Canis lupus familiaris: one gene and its partner. The protein of the gene in region 2 purifies or fractionates together with the protein of the main gene of each other region. This does not show direct contact. Links are inferred from orthologs where the notes say so. Each region holds a gene or a part of one and is shown on either strand. Other genes may lie near its edges. The genes, in order: RNF8 and MAD2L1.

Region 1 (7,260 bases), on a different chromosome or scaffold from region 2:
TATAAAACAAGAAACAAGGGTCTAGAGCTGAGATCCAGTCTCTATAGTCTTTATACTCCGTGCCTTGTGGTCAAGCCTCCATCCCCCATATTTGGGTTGACCAGATATCTTTTCTAGCTGTGAGGAAGTAGCTATAATTACTAACTTTAATGTAGTCTTAGTCCCAATTCAGTTGTTGTGACCTTCATCTCTGGCCTGTCTCCCAAATATAAGTTCTTAATATGAGTTAAAATGTCCACTTGTCTTCTTTTCTCCTCTTTTCTTTTTCTTTTTCTTTTTCTTTTTTTTTAATATATTTTTTTTAATTTATTATTTATGATAGTCACAGAGAGAGAGGGAGAGAGAGAGGCAGAGACATAGGCAGAGGGAGAAGCAGGCTCCAAGCACCGGGAGCCTGATGTGGGATTCGATCCCGGGTCTCCAGGATCGCGCCCTGGGCCAAAGGCAGGCGCCAAACCGCTGTGCCACCCAGGGATCCCTCTTTTCTTTTTCCTCTCTCCCTCCCTTCTGAGTTTATTTAAGTCATCTCTACACCCAGCGTGGGGCTCAAACCCATGACCCCAAAATCATTAGTCGCATGCTTTTGTGACTGTGCCAGCCAGGCGTGTCTGCCCCTCCCCCACACTTGTCTCTTTAAACTTTAAATCCTGCATTTGTTTCACATCTGTTTTAGAACCTGCCATCTCCATTTAGCATCTCTTGAGATCTCTAGCCAGCTCTTCATGATAGTCCTTTACATTTATAGGTTGTGCTGTGTTATCCCACATTTACTTATGTGTGCCCTTGTGTTTTCCTTTCCATAGTCAGCTGCTAAAAGTTGTTTTCATATCTTCTACTTTTGTGCCCAGTGTATTTACCTTGCAAGATGCTGAGCATAGAATTGAAATGACTGTTGATAAGTCGATTGAGCCAGAACATAATAATAGTAGTGAACACTTATATAATGCTTACCATGTGCCAGGCACTTTTCTAAGTATATTACATATGTCGTCTCATTAAATCTACACAAACTCCATGAGGGAGAGACTATTATTATCCTCCATTTTATAGATGTGGTAACTGGGGCATGGAGAGGCTAAGAAAGTTACCTAGAGTCACACAGTTATTATATGATGAAGCCAGATTACAAGTCTAGGCAGTGTGACTCCAGCATCCATGCTCTTAACCCCTACACTGTGGTTAATTTAAATCACTAAAGTAAATATTTTTCAAGCATTTATTATATGTGAGTCACTGTGCTTAGTGTTTTACATGTATTATTTCATTCATTCCTCACAGAGCAGTATGAGTTGGGAACTGTTACTATCCCTATTTTGCAGACACAACTGAGACACGGAGTTTAAGTAAATTGCTGAAGGCCAGGCAACTAATGAACCCAAGGTGGTGCATTTGGGCTATGAACTCAAGTCTGTCTGAGCCAGAGCTCCAGTTCTTAACCATGAGGCTGTGTTCCCCACTGGACCTCTGGTGCTATTAATTGGGTTAGATCCTACCTGCAGTTTGACCCCAGTATGAGGTACTGATACACTCTTTTTAGGTTTATGTGTACTGAGAAGTGCTTTGCTCACTTACCAATGTGTTCAGGAGCCACATTCAGAGACAGTGCTTGTGTGACTTTCCTAGCTAAGCCTATCTTTTGAACCTCATTATTAGATGCTGCTTCCTTCGCTAATAGCCATTTTTCCAGTCTTGGGCCATTGCCCCCAGTTTAGGTCAATAGGAGCTATTCAATTGCAGTTTATTTTAATGCTGCTGCATTTGAGTAATTCATCTGCTAGTAATAAGGTGATTCCTGCCTGTTTTACCAGCAGTTTTCTGTGGAGGCATGAATGTGAAATGTAGGTAAAAAGCCAGCACTATTTGAAGAATGATATTTCTAAGGGTGATGGTTTATGAACTTTTCCTATTTTTTCTCAAGGGTTTTCCGTCTGAAAAGGCAGAAGGTTTTGCAGCAGCAGGAGACAAATTCCGTTAAGAGGAAAATCATGAAGCTTATTTTGTCTTTCTTTCCCTTTCTCCAGAGTCTGAATGGTGTTTGGCTGAACAGAGAACGTCTAGAACCTTTAAAGGTCTATTCTATCCATAAAGGAGACCACATCCAGCTCGGGGTACCTCTAGAGAATAAGGAGAATGCGGAGTATGAGTATGAAGTTACTGAAGAAGACTGGGAGAGGATGTATCCTTGTCTTGCTCCAAAGAATGATCAGATTATAGGAAAAAATAGGGGTTTGAGAACTAAAAGGAAATTCAGTTTGGATGAATTGGAGGGTCCTGGAGCTGAAGGCCCCTCACATTTGAAATCCAAAATAAGTAAAGTGTCTTACAAACCTGGTCAGCCGGTGAAATCTCATGGAAAAGGTGAGGTGGCCAGTCAGCCTTCTGAATATTTGGATCCTAAGTTGACATCTCTTGAGCTAAGTGAGAAGGCCACAGATGCTCATGTTTACCCTTCCTCCACAAAAGTCGTAGCGCTTCATCATAAGAAGCAGAAAGCCTCAAATCCTTCAGCATCTCAGAGCAGCTTAGAGCTGTTCAAGGTGACTATGTCCAGGATTCTGAAGCTGAAAACACAAATGCAGGAAAAACAGGTAGCTGTCCTGAATGTGAAAAGGCAGACCCAAAAAGGGAACTCAAAGAAAATTGTGAAAATGGAGAAGGAACTGCAGGACTTACAGTCCCAGCTGTGTGCAGAGCAGGCCCAGCAGCAGGCCAGAGTGGAACAGCTAGAGAAGACTTTCCAAGAAGAGGAGCAGCATCTCCAGGTACCACACATGAGAGAAGGACACCAATGCTCCTCAGGGGTGGGTGGGCCCTTGGTGAGCCTATGGCCACAGCTCACTGTTTCTGTGTTAGAAACTACATGCTGAGTGCTAGGGACAGGAGATGGAATGAGGACAAAGGACTTTGAGGTGGGAGAAGGGGATAGAGTACAGGGTTAAGGCTTTAGCATGATGATCAAGAGCCAGGGTTTGGGTGCCATGATGCGTAAGGTGACTGTTAGAGCCAGCCAGGATATAACTCAGGATATAAAGCTGAGACACGTGAGAACTGAAGCAGATTCAGAGAGAGGTTGGATGAAGGTCAGGATGCCACAGAATCATAGTACATTCCAGTTAAACCAATAGTGATCCTTGCCTTTCTTTTCTGTGTCAAAGCCAAACCACTTAGCCCAAGGCAGCAGTGGGTCAGATGGTAACCCTTGTACCTGCCCTTGTACCTGGCCCTTGTACCTGGCCACTAGCTCTGATAGTTAACTCTGTAGCTAACTTAGAAGTGGGAGTCTAGAAAGGCAGAAAATGTTTTTTTGTTTCTATCCTGAGCATCCAGTGCGGGAGGGGAAGGTATACTGTGACTCTGTTGTTGAGTTGAGTGGTAAGCCACCTTCCCCAGTGCGTTGAGGGGGAAGGTAGAATAATGATTGTCTTAGCTGTGTCAGGGTAAGACCAAATGTGTCCCCATCCCTGAGTCATTTACCTAGATGACAAGCTCTTGCACAAAGCTTCTAGGCTAGAGCTGATCTTGGTCCCTGCTCAAAATGTCAGTTCCCATCTGGCAAGAAGCACACGTTTTACTCCTACCTACTTGCTCAGGTAATACTGAATGTCAAGAATTCCCCATTGTTGACTTAGAAATAAAAAGGACCAATCAGGATTGAAGTGAATAAGCTTTTCTGTTTTGTTTACTTTGCTCAGGGCAAGGAACAACCAGTAGTGTTGGCTTATTTCTGAACAATTTATAAATTTCATTCTAATCTCTGCTACCCCCTTGAACTGGTAGCATTAGTAAAGGCCATGGATTAAATAGGTCTTTCTAAGGGTATACACTGTTTGCTTATGTCATACCTTTTTGCTTCGCTTGCCAGCCTGGACTAGTTCTTGAAGCTAATAGAGGGAGGTTCATCTTTACATATTTAGTGTATGACACGCTCCCCAGAGCAGAACCCTCTTTAAAGGCTAATGTGTCCAGGAACAAGAGTTACTATTAATTAAAGTTTGTGGCTGCTTTGGGCATGCTTCAGGATATAGCTGTAAAATCTTTTCTATATTAAAATGGTAAAGAAAAGCAGAAATTCTCTTGGGGTATTTGAGGGTCATATATATATATAGCTCATGGTGAAATGTATCTAGTTCTTTGTTTATGAGCTGCTTTTCCCTCTGCCACCAAGCCCTAAGGATTTATTCTACTCCTACTACTTGTTCAGAAGCTCATTTAACTGTTGCTTCTTCACACAGATTTTTTTTTTCTTTTCTTTAGTACCTACTGTTGTCTGGTGTACTATACTTGGGAGTTTAGGTGGTTATAAAGATACTTAATAAATGGTTTTTGCTATTAAGAAATCAATCTTGTTGAAAAGACAAGATGTATTATACACATAAAATAATCAGAATAGTTTTAAGTGAATATATTTAAATTAGAGGATAATTTCCAGTTAGCATATTAAATGGGTAGGTAATTCTTAAAGAGGAAGGGCCCAGAATGCCTTATAGAAGGTGCTGGACATAGTGTAGTGGTGATGTGGAAGGCATCCACATCAAAGGGGTGGTTGGAGGAAACAGAGCGTAAGTTCCAGCAAGGAGAATAAGTGATAGAGAATCACACTAAGAGATGAGGCGGCCAGAATCTAGGGAAGTAATGTGATGGAAATTATGAGTGTCAACGTAGTGGGTTATATCTGAGTTTAGGTTTTTGATGGCTTAGAAGCTCTCAGTTTACATCTCTCTGGCAGTCATGGTGTTAGCCAGTGAAGGAGACTTGGAGTATTAGCCCAGGGTTCTTTCCAGAACAACCTGAGTGGTAGCTTGACGGTGACAGCCCCAGGGTGTCCAGTGCCTGAGTAGTTCACTCTGCTCAAATCCCTTACTGCCAACAACTTGAAGTAAAACAGGAGGTTTTCCACCCGCCCCCTGCCCTCTGTTGTTTGTAGATGCTTACAGAAGACAGTCTGCTCTGCCTATTGCTAGATTTTGTTTCTCTTCTGCCCCTCCCTGCAGGGAAACTTTCTATGTTGTTTTTGGCTTTGCAGGGTTTGGAGAAGGATCAAGGAGAAGAGGACCTGAAGCAACAGCTGGCCCAGGCGCTGCAGGAGGTAACTTCTCTCTTGCCGCTGTACAGAGATTGTAGTGGGCTGGGTCTTCACATGGCCACTGGCTGCCTCTTCTGCTTAGCACACACCTCTGCGGCATCTCCAGTCTGCAAACAGCAGCTGCTCACACCATCAGGTCAGAGATTTGGCCTCACAGACATGCCAGACCTCAGCATGAAAACTTACATCTTCATCTGAGCAGGCATTGCTCTAGTGAAGATGGGACGAAGCCTGTAGCAATTAGGAAGCTGTCTGGGGAAGTGGCTGCACTTCTAGAAAGGTGAGGGCAGCAGAGGGGAATTTTAAGCTCTGACTTGGCCACCAGGACCTGCAAGGGCCTTTATTACCTTACTGTCCCTGAGCTGAAGCCATCCAGAAACCATTCAGGAATGTTCCAATTAAGTGTTTTAGGTCAGGTTGAGAATGCAGTTTAACAGTCAGCAAACATAGTGATTCACTGAAGGGCAAAGCTCACAGGTATAAGATGCCCCTCAAAGATGGCCTGCCGTTTATTTCATGTAACTTGACTATCAGCTGATTATTTTTCACAAGCTGTTTTGCATCTTTGAAGCCTGCTCTGTCTTCTGTCCTTTATATGTTCATGATCAGTAGTTTGATGCAAGGTTTGTCAGGGAGTTAGTGGGATGGTTTAAATCTCCTTGAGAAGAGTGAGTAATTGCATTAGAATTTATCCTTCTGTTCTTTTATTGCATATCTACCTCCCAACCTTCTCAGAGTGCTAACAGCCCCATATTATTGTAAGCTCAGAGAGGGATGCCTACTTTGATTTCCCTAAGGGGTACACAAATAGCCTTGAAAAGAATTGGGTGAAAATTAATTCAATCTTTTTGGAATTTTATTTTCTAAGCTTGTTTATTTTCTAGGGTGGGAAGCTAGGCATAATCCTTGTTTAGAGCATTATTAAATTGTATTGAGATACTGTTTTGAAATTGACTGGAAAAGAGTAAGATTCTGCTACTTGGAAATCCCTGGGGATCACAGAGTACCTTGTACCCACAGCCCCTTAACCCACCCCTGAGAGGCAGGAAAACATTTAGCATGAGGTACTTGGCCAGTCTCTGTTCATTAGTCTAAAAATGTGATACTTTTAGGTCATGGTTATAATAACATGCCTAGGGGACATAATCACTCTCTCAACCGAAACAATGGTGGTTTTTCGGTCCACTCTGTTGTTCCCTCTGTAGCAATTCTTTTTTATTTTCTAGGCAATTACAAAAACTTGCATTTACATAAAGCTTTAAAAACTTTTCCAGATGCTTTCTTATCTGTTATTTCATTTCTTAACACTGATGTAGGAGGGGCACCTGTTTTCCCATTTTTATAGATGAGTAAGCTAGGCACATACATCTAATCAGTAGTCAAGATGAATGCCTTCTGATATAGCTGCTTTTTTTGGGGGGGGGGGAGACCCACATTTTATTTTATTTATTTATTTTTTTAAGATTTTATTTCTTTATTCATAGACACAGGGAGAGGGAGAAGCAGGCTCCATGCAGGGAGCCCGATGTGGGACTTGATCCCAGGTCTCCAGGATCACACCCCAGGCTGCAGGCGGCACCAAACTGCTGCGCCACCAGGGCTGCCCAGTGATTTATTATTTTTTATTTTTTAAAGATTTTATTTATTTATTCATGAGAGATAGAGAGAGAGAGAGAGGCAGAGACACAGGCAGAGGGAGAAGCAGGCTCTGTGCAGGGAGCCCGATGTGGGACTCGATCCCCAGACTCCAGGATCACGCCTCGGCTGAAGGCGGCGCTAAACCGCTGAGCCCCCCAGGCTGCCCGAGACCCACATTTTAAAATTCGTTTTCTTGGGTAATATCTTTTCAGAAATACTTACCTTTACTCCACCTTCTTTAAGAAAGGATTTGAGGTGAGAAAGTGTAAGCTATACTTAAAACAACGGTGCTCAGAAATTTTTATAGAAGTAGAATCTCTTGACATTCAGTGTAGGCAGTTAGTCACAATGATTGAGCTGTTAGCTCTTGGGTGTGTCTACTTCCAGAAGACATAGGCAGGGTTCAGGCAGCACTGCCTTACAAGCACGTAGTATGTGATTTATAGAATAAATAGGTTGAAGGTCTTTTTTATTTCAACGAAAATGATTATCTAGAAATCCCATTTCTCCCTGATTATTTCTTAAAAGCCATGCCCAGT
Region 2 (7,915 bases):
CTAAAGGTTGAAATTTATGGATTTTAGACTAAGGGCAATTATGTTAAAAGTACACTATACAAGTCCATAATAGGCACAACTCTTTTGTGAGCACAGTTTGTGAGTCTAATTCTTCTCCACGGGAGATGAAAGATCGAATCTAACATATTTAGAAACAAACTACCTTATACAAAACTATTTCAATATAGTTAGAACTCATTTACTCAAGAAAACAAGTTTGGGAAAAAAAATCTATGAAAGTGGAAGCAATTTAATTCATACTTACTTGTCATCTTTTGCAGTCTTGTCGCACTCAATATCAAACTGCCACCTTTCAAGGACTTCACCGCTTTCAATATTTGAGATGACTACCACCAGTTTCTGAACTGAACACTTGTATAACCAATCTGCAATGCATAACAAGGCATCTTTTTTGGTTCACTGCATTACAAAGTAACTCTCTTCCCAGGTCTCACTTTCTATCCTTAGCAAATTCCTACCACTGGTATTTTGGAACTCCTCCAACCTGTACAGAAAACTTGCCTCATAATAACCTAGCTCCTGTTTTTCAATTCTCAGTATCTGTACCAGATACTGAATGCTAAGGACAGAGTAGTGAACATGCAGTATACTCTAATCCAAGGTAAACTGCAGAAGATGAGCATTAACCTAATCACTGCAGTAATAAATGTAAAATTTTAATTGTAATAAATGCTAAGAAGGTACAGTATGTGATCCAATGAGAGAATATAGGAAAATCTGACTCCGGGAATTCTCACTCGACTTCAATTCTAAATAAATACCATTAAATATGCAAAAGGATACAGAAAATGTACAGGTCTTAAATACTGAAAAGCGAAAAGTATCTGACCAGAGGATTGAAAGGGTAATACAAAGGGAGAATGAACAAGGTCGGTTTGTACAAGATACATAGGGGTCAGACCACACAAGGCCACATGGACTAAATTAAAGAACTTATACTTCAAGAACCAGGGAAGTCATTACTTTGTATAGGGTGTGATGTGATTAAACTTATATTTCAGACTATACTTTTGCCTGCGATGTGTGGAAAGTAGAGTGGAAGAGAGGATCTAGGGATGCTAAATGATTACCTCAAGCAAGAGGTACTGAAGGCTTATAGAAGGATAAATTGGTAGAGATAGATAAGTATAGGTAGAGTCCAGAGATTTCGTGGTTAAAATTGTTAAGATTTATTGGATACTAATGAAACTAAGGAAGAGGAAATACTCAGGGATAGTTCCCAACTTTCTGGTTTATACCACTGGTTGGAAGGTTGATCCGTTCACTGAGAGAAAGAGAATGGAAATGAGACATGATGCTTACAGTTTTTTTTAAAGGTTTTCTTTTTCTTCATTTTTTTTTAAGATTTTATGTATTTATTCATGAGAGACAGAGAGAGAGAGAGAGAGAGAGAGAGAGAGGCAGAGACACAGGCAGAGGGAGAAGCTGGCTCCATGCAGGAGCCTGATGTGGGACTCGATCCCAGGTCTTCGGGATCATGCCCTGGGCTGAAGGCAGCGCTAAACCGCTGAGCCACCTGGGCTGCCCTAAGGTTTTATTTCTAAGTAATATCCACACCCAATGTGGAGCTGGAACTAACAACCCAAGATCAAGAGTTGCATGCTCTACTGACTGAGCCAGCCAGGACCCCCTTACATTTAGTTTTCAAGTATCACTAGGATAGCCACATGTGGATATCAAGGGAGCCACTTACTATATGAGCAAAGAGAAGACTTGGGTTGGATGTATGCTTGTGAGTCAACTACACAAAGATTGTTAGTGAAGTTATGTATGTGTCAGAAATCATCTTAGAGATTATAATAAGAGGGCCTCATAATGAGCCCTGAATTAATCTTGGAACTTGGGATAATATACTCAAGAATACACAGTTGTTTTTTTTCAAGAGACAAAAACAATCTTGTAATATTTAGGGCTTGTGGGCCACCTAGGTCTCTTGTGTAGTCTTTTAAAAACTAGCTTTTAAAAATCTGAAAATATTCTTAGTTTGCAGGTAGTACAAAAATAGGCCACTTGCTGGATATGGGCGGTCAGTCTTGCTGACCCCTTGACAAAAATCAGCTTTTTCTCAATTTTGCTCTGAAAAGGAAGAGATTGGGTAGTCACTTAAAGATCTGGGGTGTGTGGAAATTTTTTTCTTTTAAAACTGAAGACAGATGAAACCAATGAAAATATCTCAAAACAAAGAAGTCAGAAATACCAGAGAAGAACTAGGGTAAAGTCCTTAGGAAGGCTAGAGTGATGGGGATTCAAAGAGATCGAACAATTTGCCTCTAAGAAGAGCAATTCCTCCATTCTAACTAAAAGGGACAAATTAAATCGGAAGGTTTAATTCACATACAACTCACATACAACTGAGGTGAAATGTCATCAGTGTAGTCTTAAAGGAGACAACCTAAAATCAGTAGCTTAGGCAGGGCTTGCTTCTTCATCAAATTAAGGTGACATAGATTCTTAGTTACTTCTATGTTTCAGGCTAAGTAATCTGAGTATAGCCCTGGGTGATTTAGCCCTGAAGATGATAAAAATATGATTAATAGAATTTAAAAAATAAAGCCCCTTGAAACAGAAAATATATATATGACTCAGGAATTAAAAAAAAATTACTGTAATTTTTTTGGGAACTAGTTTTGGAAGGTCAAATGAGGAGCCAGGGAGAAACATCCTATAACACAGAAAAATTAGAAGTGAGAATCCTAAGTAGAGAAAAAGATGGGGGGAAAAAAAGAATAGATGGAGAACAAGTATTCATTCAACAAGTATTCAGTAATTTCTTGAGCTAAGAAAAAACAGTGAGTGTTCAGATAGAAATGGCTAACTTACAGGCAGGATTTTAACAAAGACAATTGAAGACAGTAAGACATTAAAAAACTTTATTGGGTACTCTATTAGTAGTATTTTTTTTTTTTTTTAAGTTTAGTTCCCAGGCTGGATTCAATTTCATTTTATCTTAAAATAATGATGGTTTTAAACTCTAGGCAGCTATAGAAAATATATCATGTTAAAAATATATAGTGGATTTCTCTCCAATAATAAACATCATCATAGTTATGTAAAATTCCAACTTGTTCCACCTGGCTACACGAACTGCAAAAATCACTTCAAAGGGAGTTGATAGAGATTGTTTTGTGAAGCCAGATCAGATTTCTAACATCAAAGTATTTAGCCCACTCAAAATGTGGTAGGGAAGAGTGGACTTTCTTTCAACTTATTATTTGCTTCCTTCCGATTGAGAATCACTGTATTTGAAATTGCAGTGTTTTACACCTCTTTGTATAGCGCTGAAAAATGAACACCAAGATGCCAGAAAGTACGGGTCCAAGAAAGCCTGCAAAACTCAAAATGGTTTTCAACAATTAAATACCTTTCAGTTGTTCCACTACATTATTTAGGTATTTCATGAGCTCAGGATCAGTTGTTACAAGCAAGGTGAGTCCGTATTTCTGCACTCTGGTAAAGGTTTCAGATGGATATATGCCACGCTGATATAAAATGCTGTTGATGCCAAATGCTGAAAACAAAAGGAATGTTAAAGTCATTTTCACTTTGCAACTCTGGAAAATAAAACCTATTTAGATGTGGCTGCGGTTTCATTCCTGGTATCAAACTGAAAAAGCCTAAACGTGCATTTGTGGGTGTCTTGCTGAAAGCAGAGTAAGTGAAAAGTGCCACTGAAAATCCTTAAAAATGTTGCTTCTAAGTAAAAAGAACACGATACCTGCGTTTATGCGGAACTAAAAATGCCAAACTGCATTAACCTAGTGTCAAAGTAGAACTACAAGCTCACGGTAATGCAAGCCCCAATTCAGGTTATGTGATCACAGGGTGTCGAAATAGGCTTTTGCGTCTGGATTAGCAACTGATTAACCGGTCCAATGTTCCAAAGCAAGCCTCTCCCTCACTTTTCCCTCCTCTTCTCCTACCAGATTCCATCAGAGGGTACAAACATGGCCTGGTCCAGGACAGAGTTTCCTAAATCTAGTCCATCGCCGTCAGTACCGGGGTCAAAGCTTGGTGGAAGGGCTATTCAAGATATACTGGGGCCCCACCCCGCTCGGGGTGGGCGTAGGCGTGGGGCTGGGGCCGGGCTGGGAAGCGTGTCGGATCCGCCGTTTAAAGCAAGGCTGCTGGGATCCCTGGTGGCGCAGCGGTTTAGCGCCTGCCTTTGGCCCAGGGCGCGATCCTGGAGACCCGGGATCGAATCCCACGTCGGGCTCCCGGTCCACATCGGGCTCCCGGTGCATGGAGCCTGCTTCTCCTTCTGCCTGTGTTTCTGCCTCTCTCTCTCTCTCTCTATCATAAATTAATTAATTAATTAATTAAAAAAATTTAAAAAAAAATAAAGCAAGGCTGCTGGTGGAGGGGCCGCAGCGCCAGGCGGGCCTCGGCAGCACCTGGGCTTCCTGCTCCACCAGGAGCGAGGCGCCCGGGGGTGGCGCCTGCATCCGCCTCCTCCTAGATTAGATTCTCCAGCCCGGCGGGCGCTGGAGCAAAGAGAGCCGACCCCGACCCCCGCCTCCGTGGCCGGGCCGGGCCTCCAGGGCGGCCTGGCCTCAGCTCTCCCCGCCCTCTGGCCTGCGCAAGGGGGACTTACAGAAGAACTCGGCCACGATTTCGGCGCTCCCGCGCAGGGTGATGCCTTGCTCCCGGGAGAGCTGCAGCGCCATGGCCAGGCCTAGGGACGAGGGAGCGCGCTGCTGCCCGGCGGACGGCGACGCCACAGCCTCCAACGGAAGTTCCCCGCCAGTCGTTTCAAAAGTAACGACGCAGCACGCCAGGGGCCCTCCGCGCAGGCGCGACGAGCCTCCCGGCAGGCCCAGCGCCAGTCTCCTCGCTCGCGGGAGGGGCGCCTCGCGCAGGCGCAGTGGGTAGGCGTGGTCAGGCACTTCCGGGTTGTCGGGCACGGAAGGGTCCCTACCGAGCACCTGTAATTGTGGTCGCCGGGTCGCAGCTGAGGCGAGACGACCGCAAAACCTGGCTTTGACGCCCGCTCCCGAGGCCTGCGGAGTGAGCAGCCCAGGATCCCGGTTCGTCAGTTTCAAAGCTATTTTCAGAGTGATGTGAACGCGCCAGTTGCATCTTAACGTGGCCCAGGGACCCCGCCCACTCCCTAGTGGGCGATTGAAACTTGCTTAGATACTCTGGGAGTCAGTCAAGAAACCGCGTGCGTGGCGGTCCAGCCACAGCTTGAGAAGGCCTGGTGACTGTGTGCGGGCGCAGCTGTTAAGGAACTGGGGGGCAGACCCGGTGGCTCGGCGGTTTGGCGCCGCCTTCTGCCAGGGCGTGATCCTGGAGACCCGGGATCAAGTCCCACGTCGGGCTCCCTGCGTGGAGCCTGCTTCTCCCTCTGCCTGTGTCTCTGCCTCTCTCTCTCTCTCTCTCTCTCCTCTCTGTGTATTCTCATGAATAAATTAATAAAATCTTACACACACACAAAAAAAAGAAATTGGGGGGGGCGGCCCTGGTGGCCCAGCAGTTGAGCGCTGCCTTCAGCCCGGGTGTGACCCTGGAGACCAGGGATGGAGTCCCTCCAGCCCTAATCCCTAAAGCCTAAACCCTAACCCTAACTCTAAATCCTGGACCTGGTAAATCTGGTCCCCATCTGGCCTCACCCAGTCCTGGTGACTTTGGTCCCCACCTGGGCCCCACCTGGACCTGACTGCTGTGGACTCCTTCGGGCCTCACCTGGAACTGGTGACTCTGATCCTATCTAGGCCTCACCCAGACCTGGTGACTCTGGTCCTCACCTGGGCATCATTGGGACCCGGTTACTCTGTTCCACACCTGAGCCTCACCTGGACATGATGACTCTGGAACCCCTCTGGGCCTCACCCTGACCTGGTGACTCTGGTCCTCAACTGGGCCTCACCTGGACCTAGTGAATATGCTCCCCACCAGGGCCTCATCTGGACCTGGTGACTCTGGTCCCTACCTGGGCATCATCGGGACATGGTTACTCTATTCCTCACTGGGACTCACCTGGACCTCGTAACTCTGGTCCTCACTTTGACCTCTTCTGTACCTGGTGACTCTGGCCCCACCTGGGCCTCAACGGAACTGGTGACTCTGATCTTCACCATGGCCTCACCTGGACCTGGTGAGTCTGGCTCCCACCAGGACCTCACCTGGACCTTGTGTCCCTTGTTTCCTTCTAGCCTCATCTGTACCTGGTGACTCCGGTCCCCATCTGGGCCTCACCTGGCCCTGGTGACACTGGTCCTCTGCTTGGCCTTACCTGGACCTGGTGACTGTGTTCCCCACCTGTGCCTCACCTGGATCCAGTGACTGTGTTCCCCACCTGGGCCTCACCCGGACCTGGTGAATCTGTTTCCCACATCAGGTTCACCTGGACATGGTGACTGTGGTCCCCTTCTTGGCCTCACCTGAACCTGGTGACTCTGATCACCATCTGGGCCACACCTTGACTTGGTCACTCTGGTCTTCATCTGGGTGTCATTGGGACCTGGTTAATCTGTTCCACACCTGGGCCTCACTTGGACCGGGTGACTCTGGTTTGCACATGGACCTCACCTGGAGCTGGTACCTGTGGTGTCCTTCTGGCCTCACCTGGACATGGTGACTCTGGTCCCCATCTGGGCCTCACCTGGCCCTGGTGACACTGGTCCTCAGCTTGGCCTCACCTGGACCTGCTGAGTGTGGTTGCCACCTGGGTCACACCCGGACCTGGCGACTCTGGTCCCCACCGGGGCCTCCCCCGGACCTGGTGAATCTGGTCCTTACCTGTTCCTTACCCAGACCTGGTGACTGGTCACCACCTGGGCCTCACCTGGTCTTGGTGAATCTGGTCCACACCTGGGCTTCACCTGGACCTGGTGACTGTGGTCCCCACCTGGGCCGCAAATGGACCTGGTGGCTCTGGTTCCCACATGGGGCTCACCTGGACCTGGGTCCTATGGTCTCCTTCTAGGCCTCACCTGGACTTGGTGACTCTGATACTCATCTGGGCCTCACCTGTACCTGGTGACTCTGGTCCCCTCTTGTGCCTCAGCTGGACCTGTTGACTCTGGTCCTCAGTTTTGCCTCACCTGGACCTGGAGACTGTGTCCCCACCTGGGCCTCACCCAGACCTTGTGACTTTGGTCCCCACCTGGGCCTTACCTGGAGTTGGTGAATCTGGTCCCCACCTGGGATTCACCTGGACCTGGTGAGTCTGGTTGCCACCTGGGCCTCACCTGGACCTGGTGCCTCTGGGCTCCACCTGGGCCTCAACCTGGACCTGGTCTTTTTGGTCCCCACCTGAGCCTCATCTGGTCCTGGTGGCTCTGGGTCCCACATGGGCCTCACCTGTACCTGCTGACTGTGGTCCTCACGTGGTCCTCACCCAGACCTGGTGACTGGTATGTGAGGAGTCTGCTCCAGATTCCCCCTCTCCCTCCACCCCTCCCCACTGCACCCTCTCTCAAGTAAATGTTCTGAAAATTAACATCAAGTCATGTGAGCATCTTTATCCCCTCTTCAGAGGTGCCTTCATATGTGTAATGACCATTTTAATGCCTTTCATGGACCCACTGTGAGTCCCATCAGAAACCCCTTTTCTTTGATATTATTGAAGTACATTCAACACACAATGTTACAGTAGTTTCAGGGCTACGACTTAGTGATTTGACAATTCTGTGCATACTCAGATCTCCCTACGAGAAGTGGAGAGAAGTGTCATCATCATCTGTCCCCATACAAAGTTGTCACGATAGTACTGACTCTATTGAATAGGCTGTACTTTCTAAATATCTGTGTCTTATTTATTTGAGAACCAGATGCTTATAGCTCTTAATGTTCTTTTTTTAAATTTTTATTTATTTATGATAGTCACACAGGGAGAGAGAGAGAGAGAGAGGCAGAGACACAGGCAGAGGGAGAAGCAGGCTCCATGCACCGG

Evidence for each region.
Region 1: the proteins of MAD2L1 (region 2) and RNF8 purify together in Homo sapiens (co-immunoprecipitation; 3 studies listed by BioGRID and IntAct, with this or other methods). This does not show direct contact. The link is inferred for Canis lupus familiaris from reciprocal best matches to the Homo sapiens genes MAD2L1 and RNF8.

Annotation. Positions count from the first base shown.
Region 1 is NC_049233.1:6,578,149-6,585,408, forward strand, and holds part of RNF8 (E3 ubiquitin-protein ligase RNF8), read left to right. Parts: intron 1-2,021; coding exon 2,022-2,762; intron 2,763-5,023; coding exon 5,024-5,086; intron 5,087-7,260. UniProt on the Homo sapiens protein: E3 ubiquitin-protein ligase that plays a key role in DNA damage signaling via 2 distinct roles: by mediating the 'Lys-63'-linked ubiquitination of histones H2A and H2AX and promoting the recruitment of DNA repair proteins at double-strand breaks (DSBs) sites, and by catalyzing 'Lys-48'-linked ubiquitination to remove target proteins from DNA damage sites.
Region 2 is NC_049239.1:56,409,044-56,416,958, reverse strand, and holds the start of MAD2L1 (mitotic spindle assembly checkpoint protein MAD2A), read right to left. Parts: upstream 4,806-7,915; 5' UTR 4,686-4,805; coding exon 4,613-4,685; intron 3,530-4,612; coding exon 3,383-3,529; intron 387-3,382; coding exon 266-386; intron 1-265. UniProt on the Homo sapiens protein: Component of the spindle-assembly checkpoint that prevents the onset of anaphase until all chromosomes are properly aligned at the metaphase plate.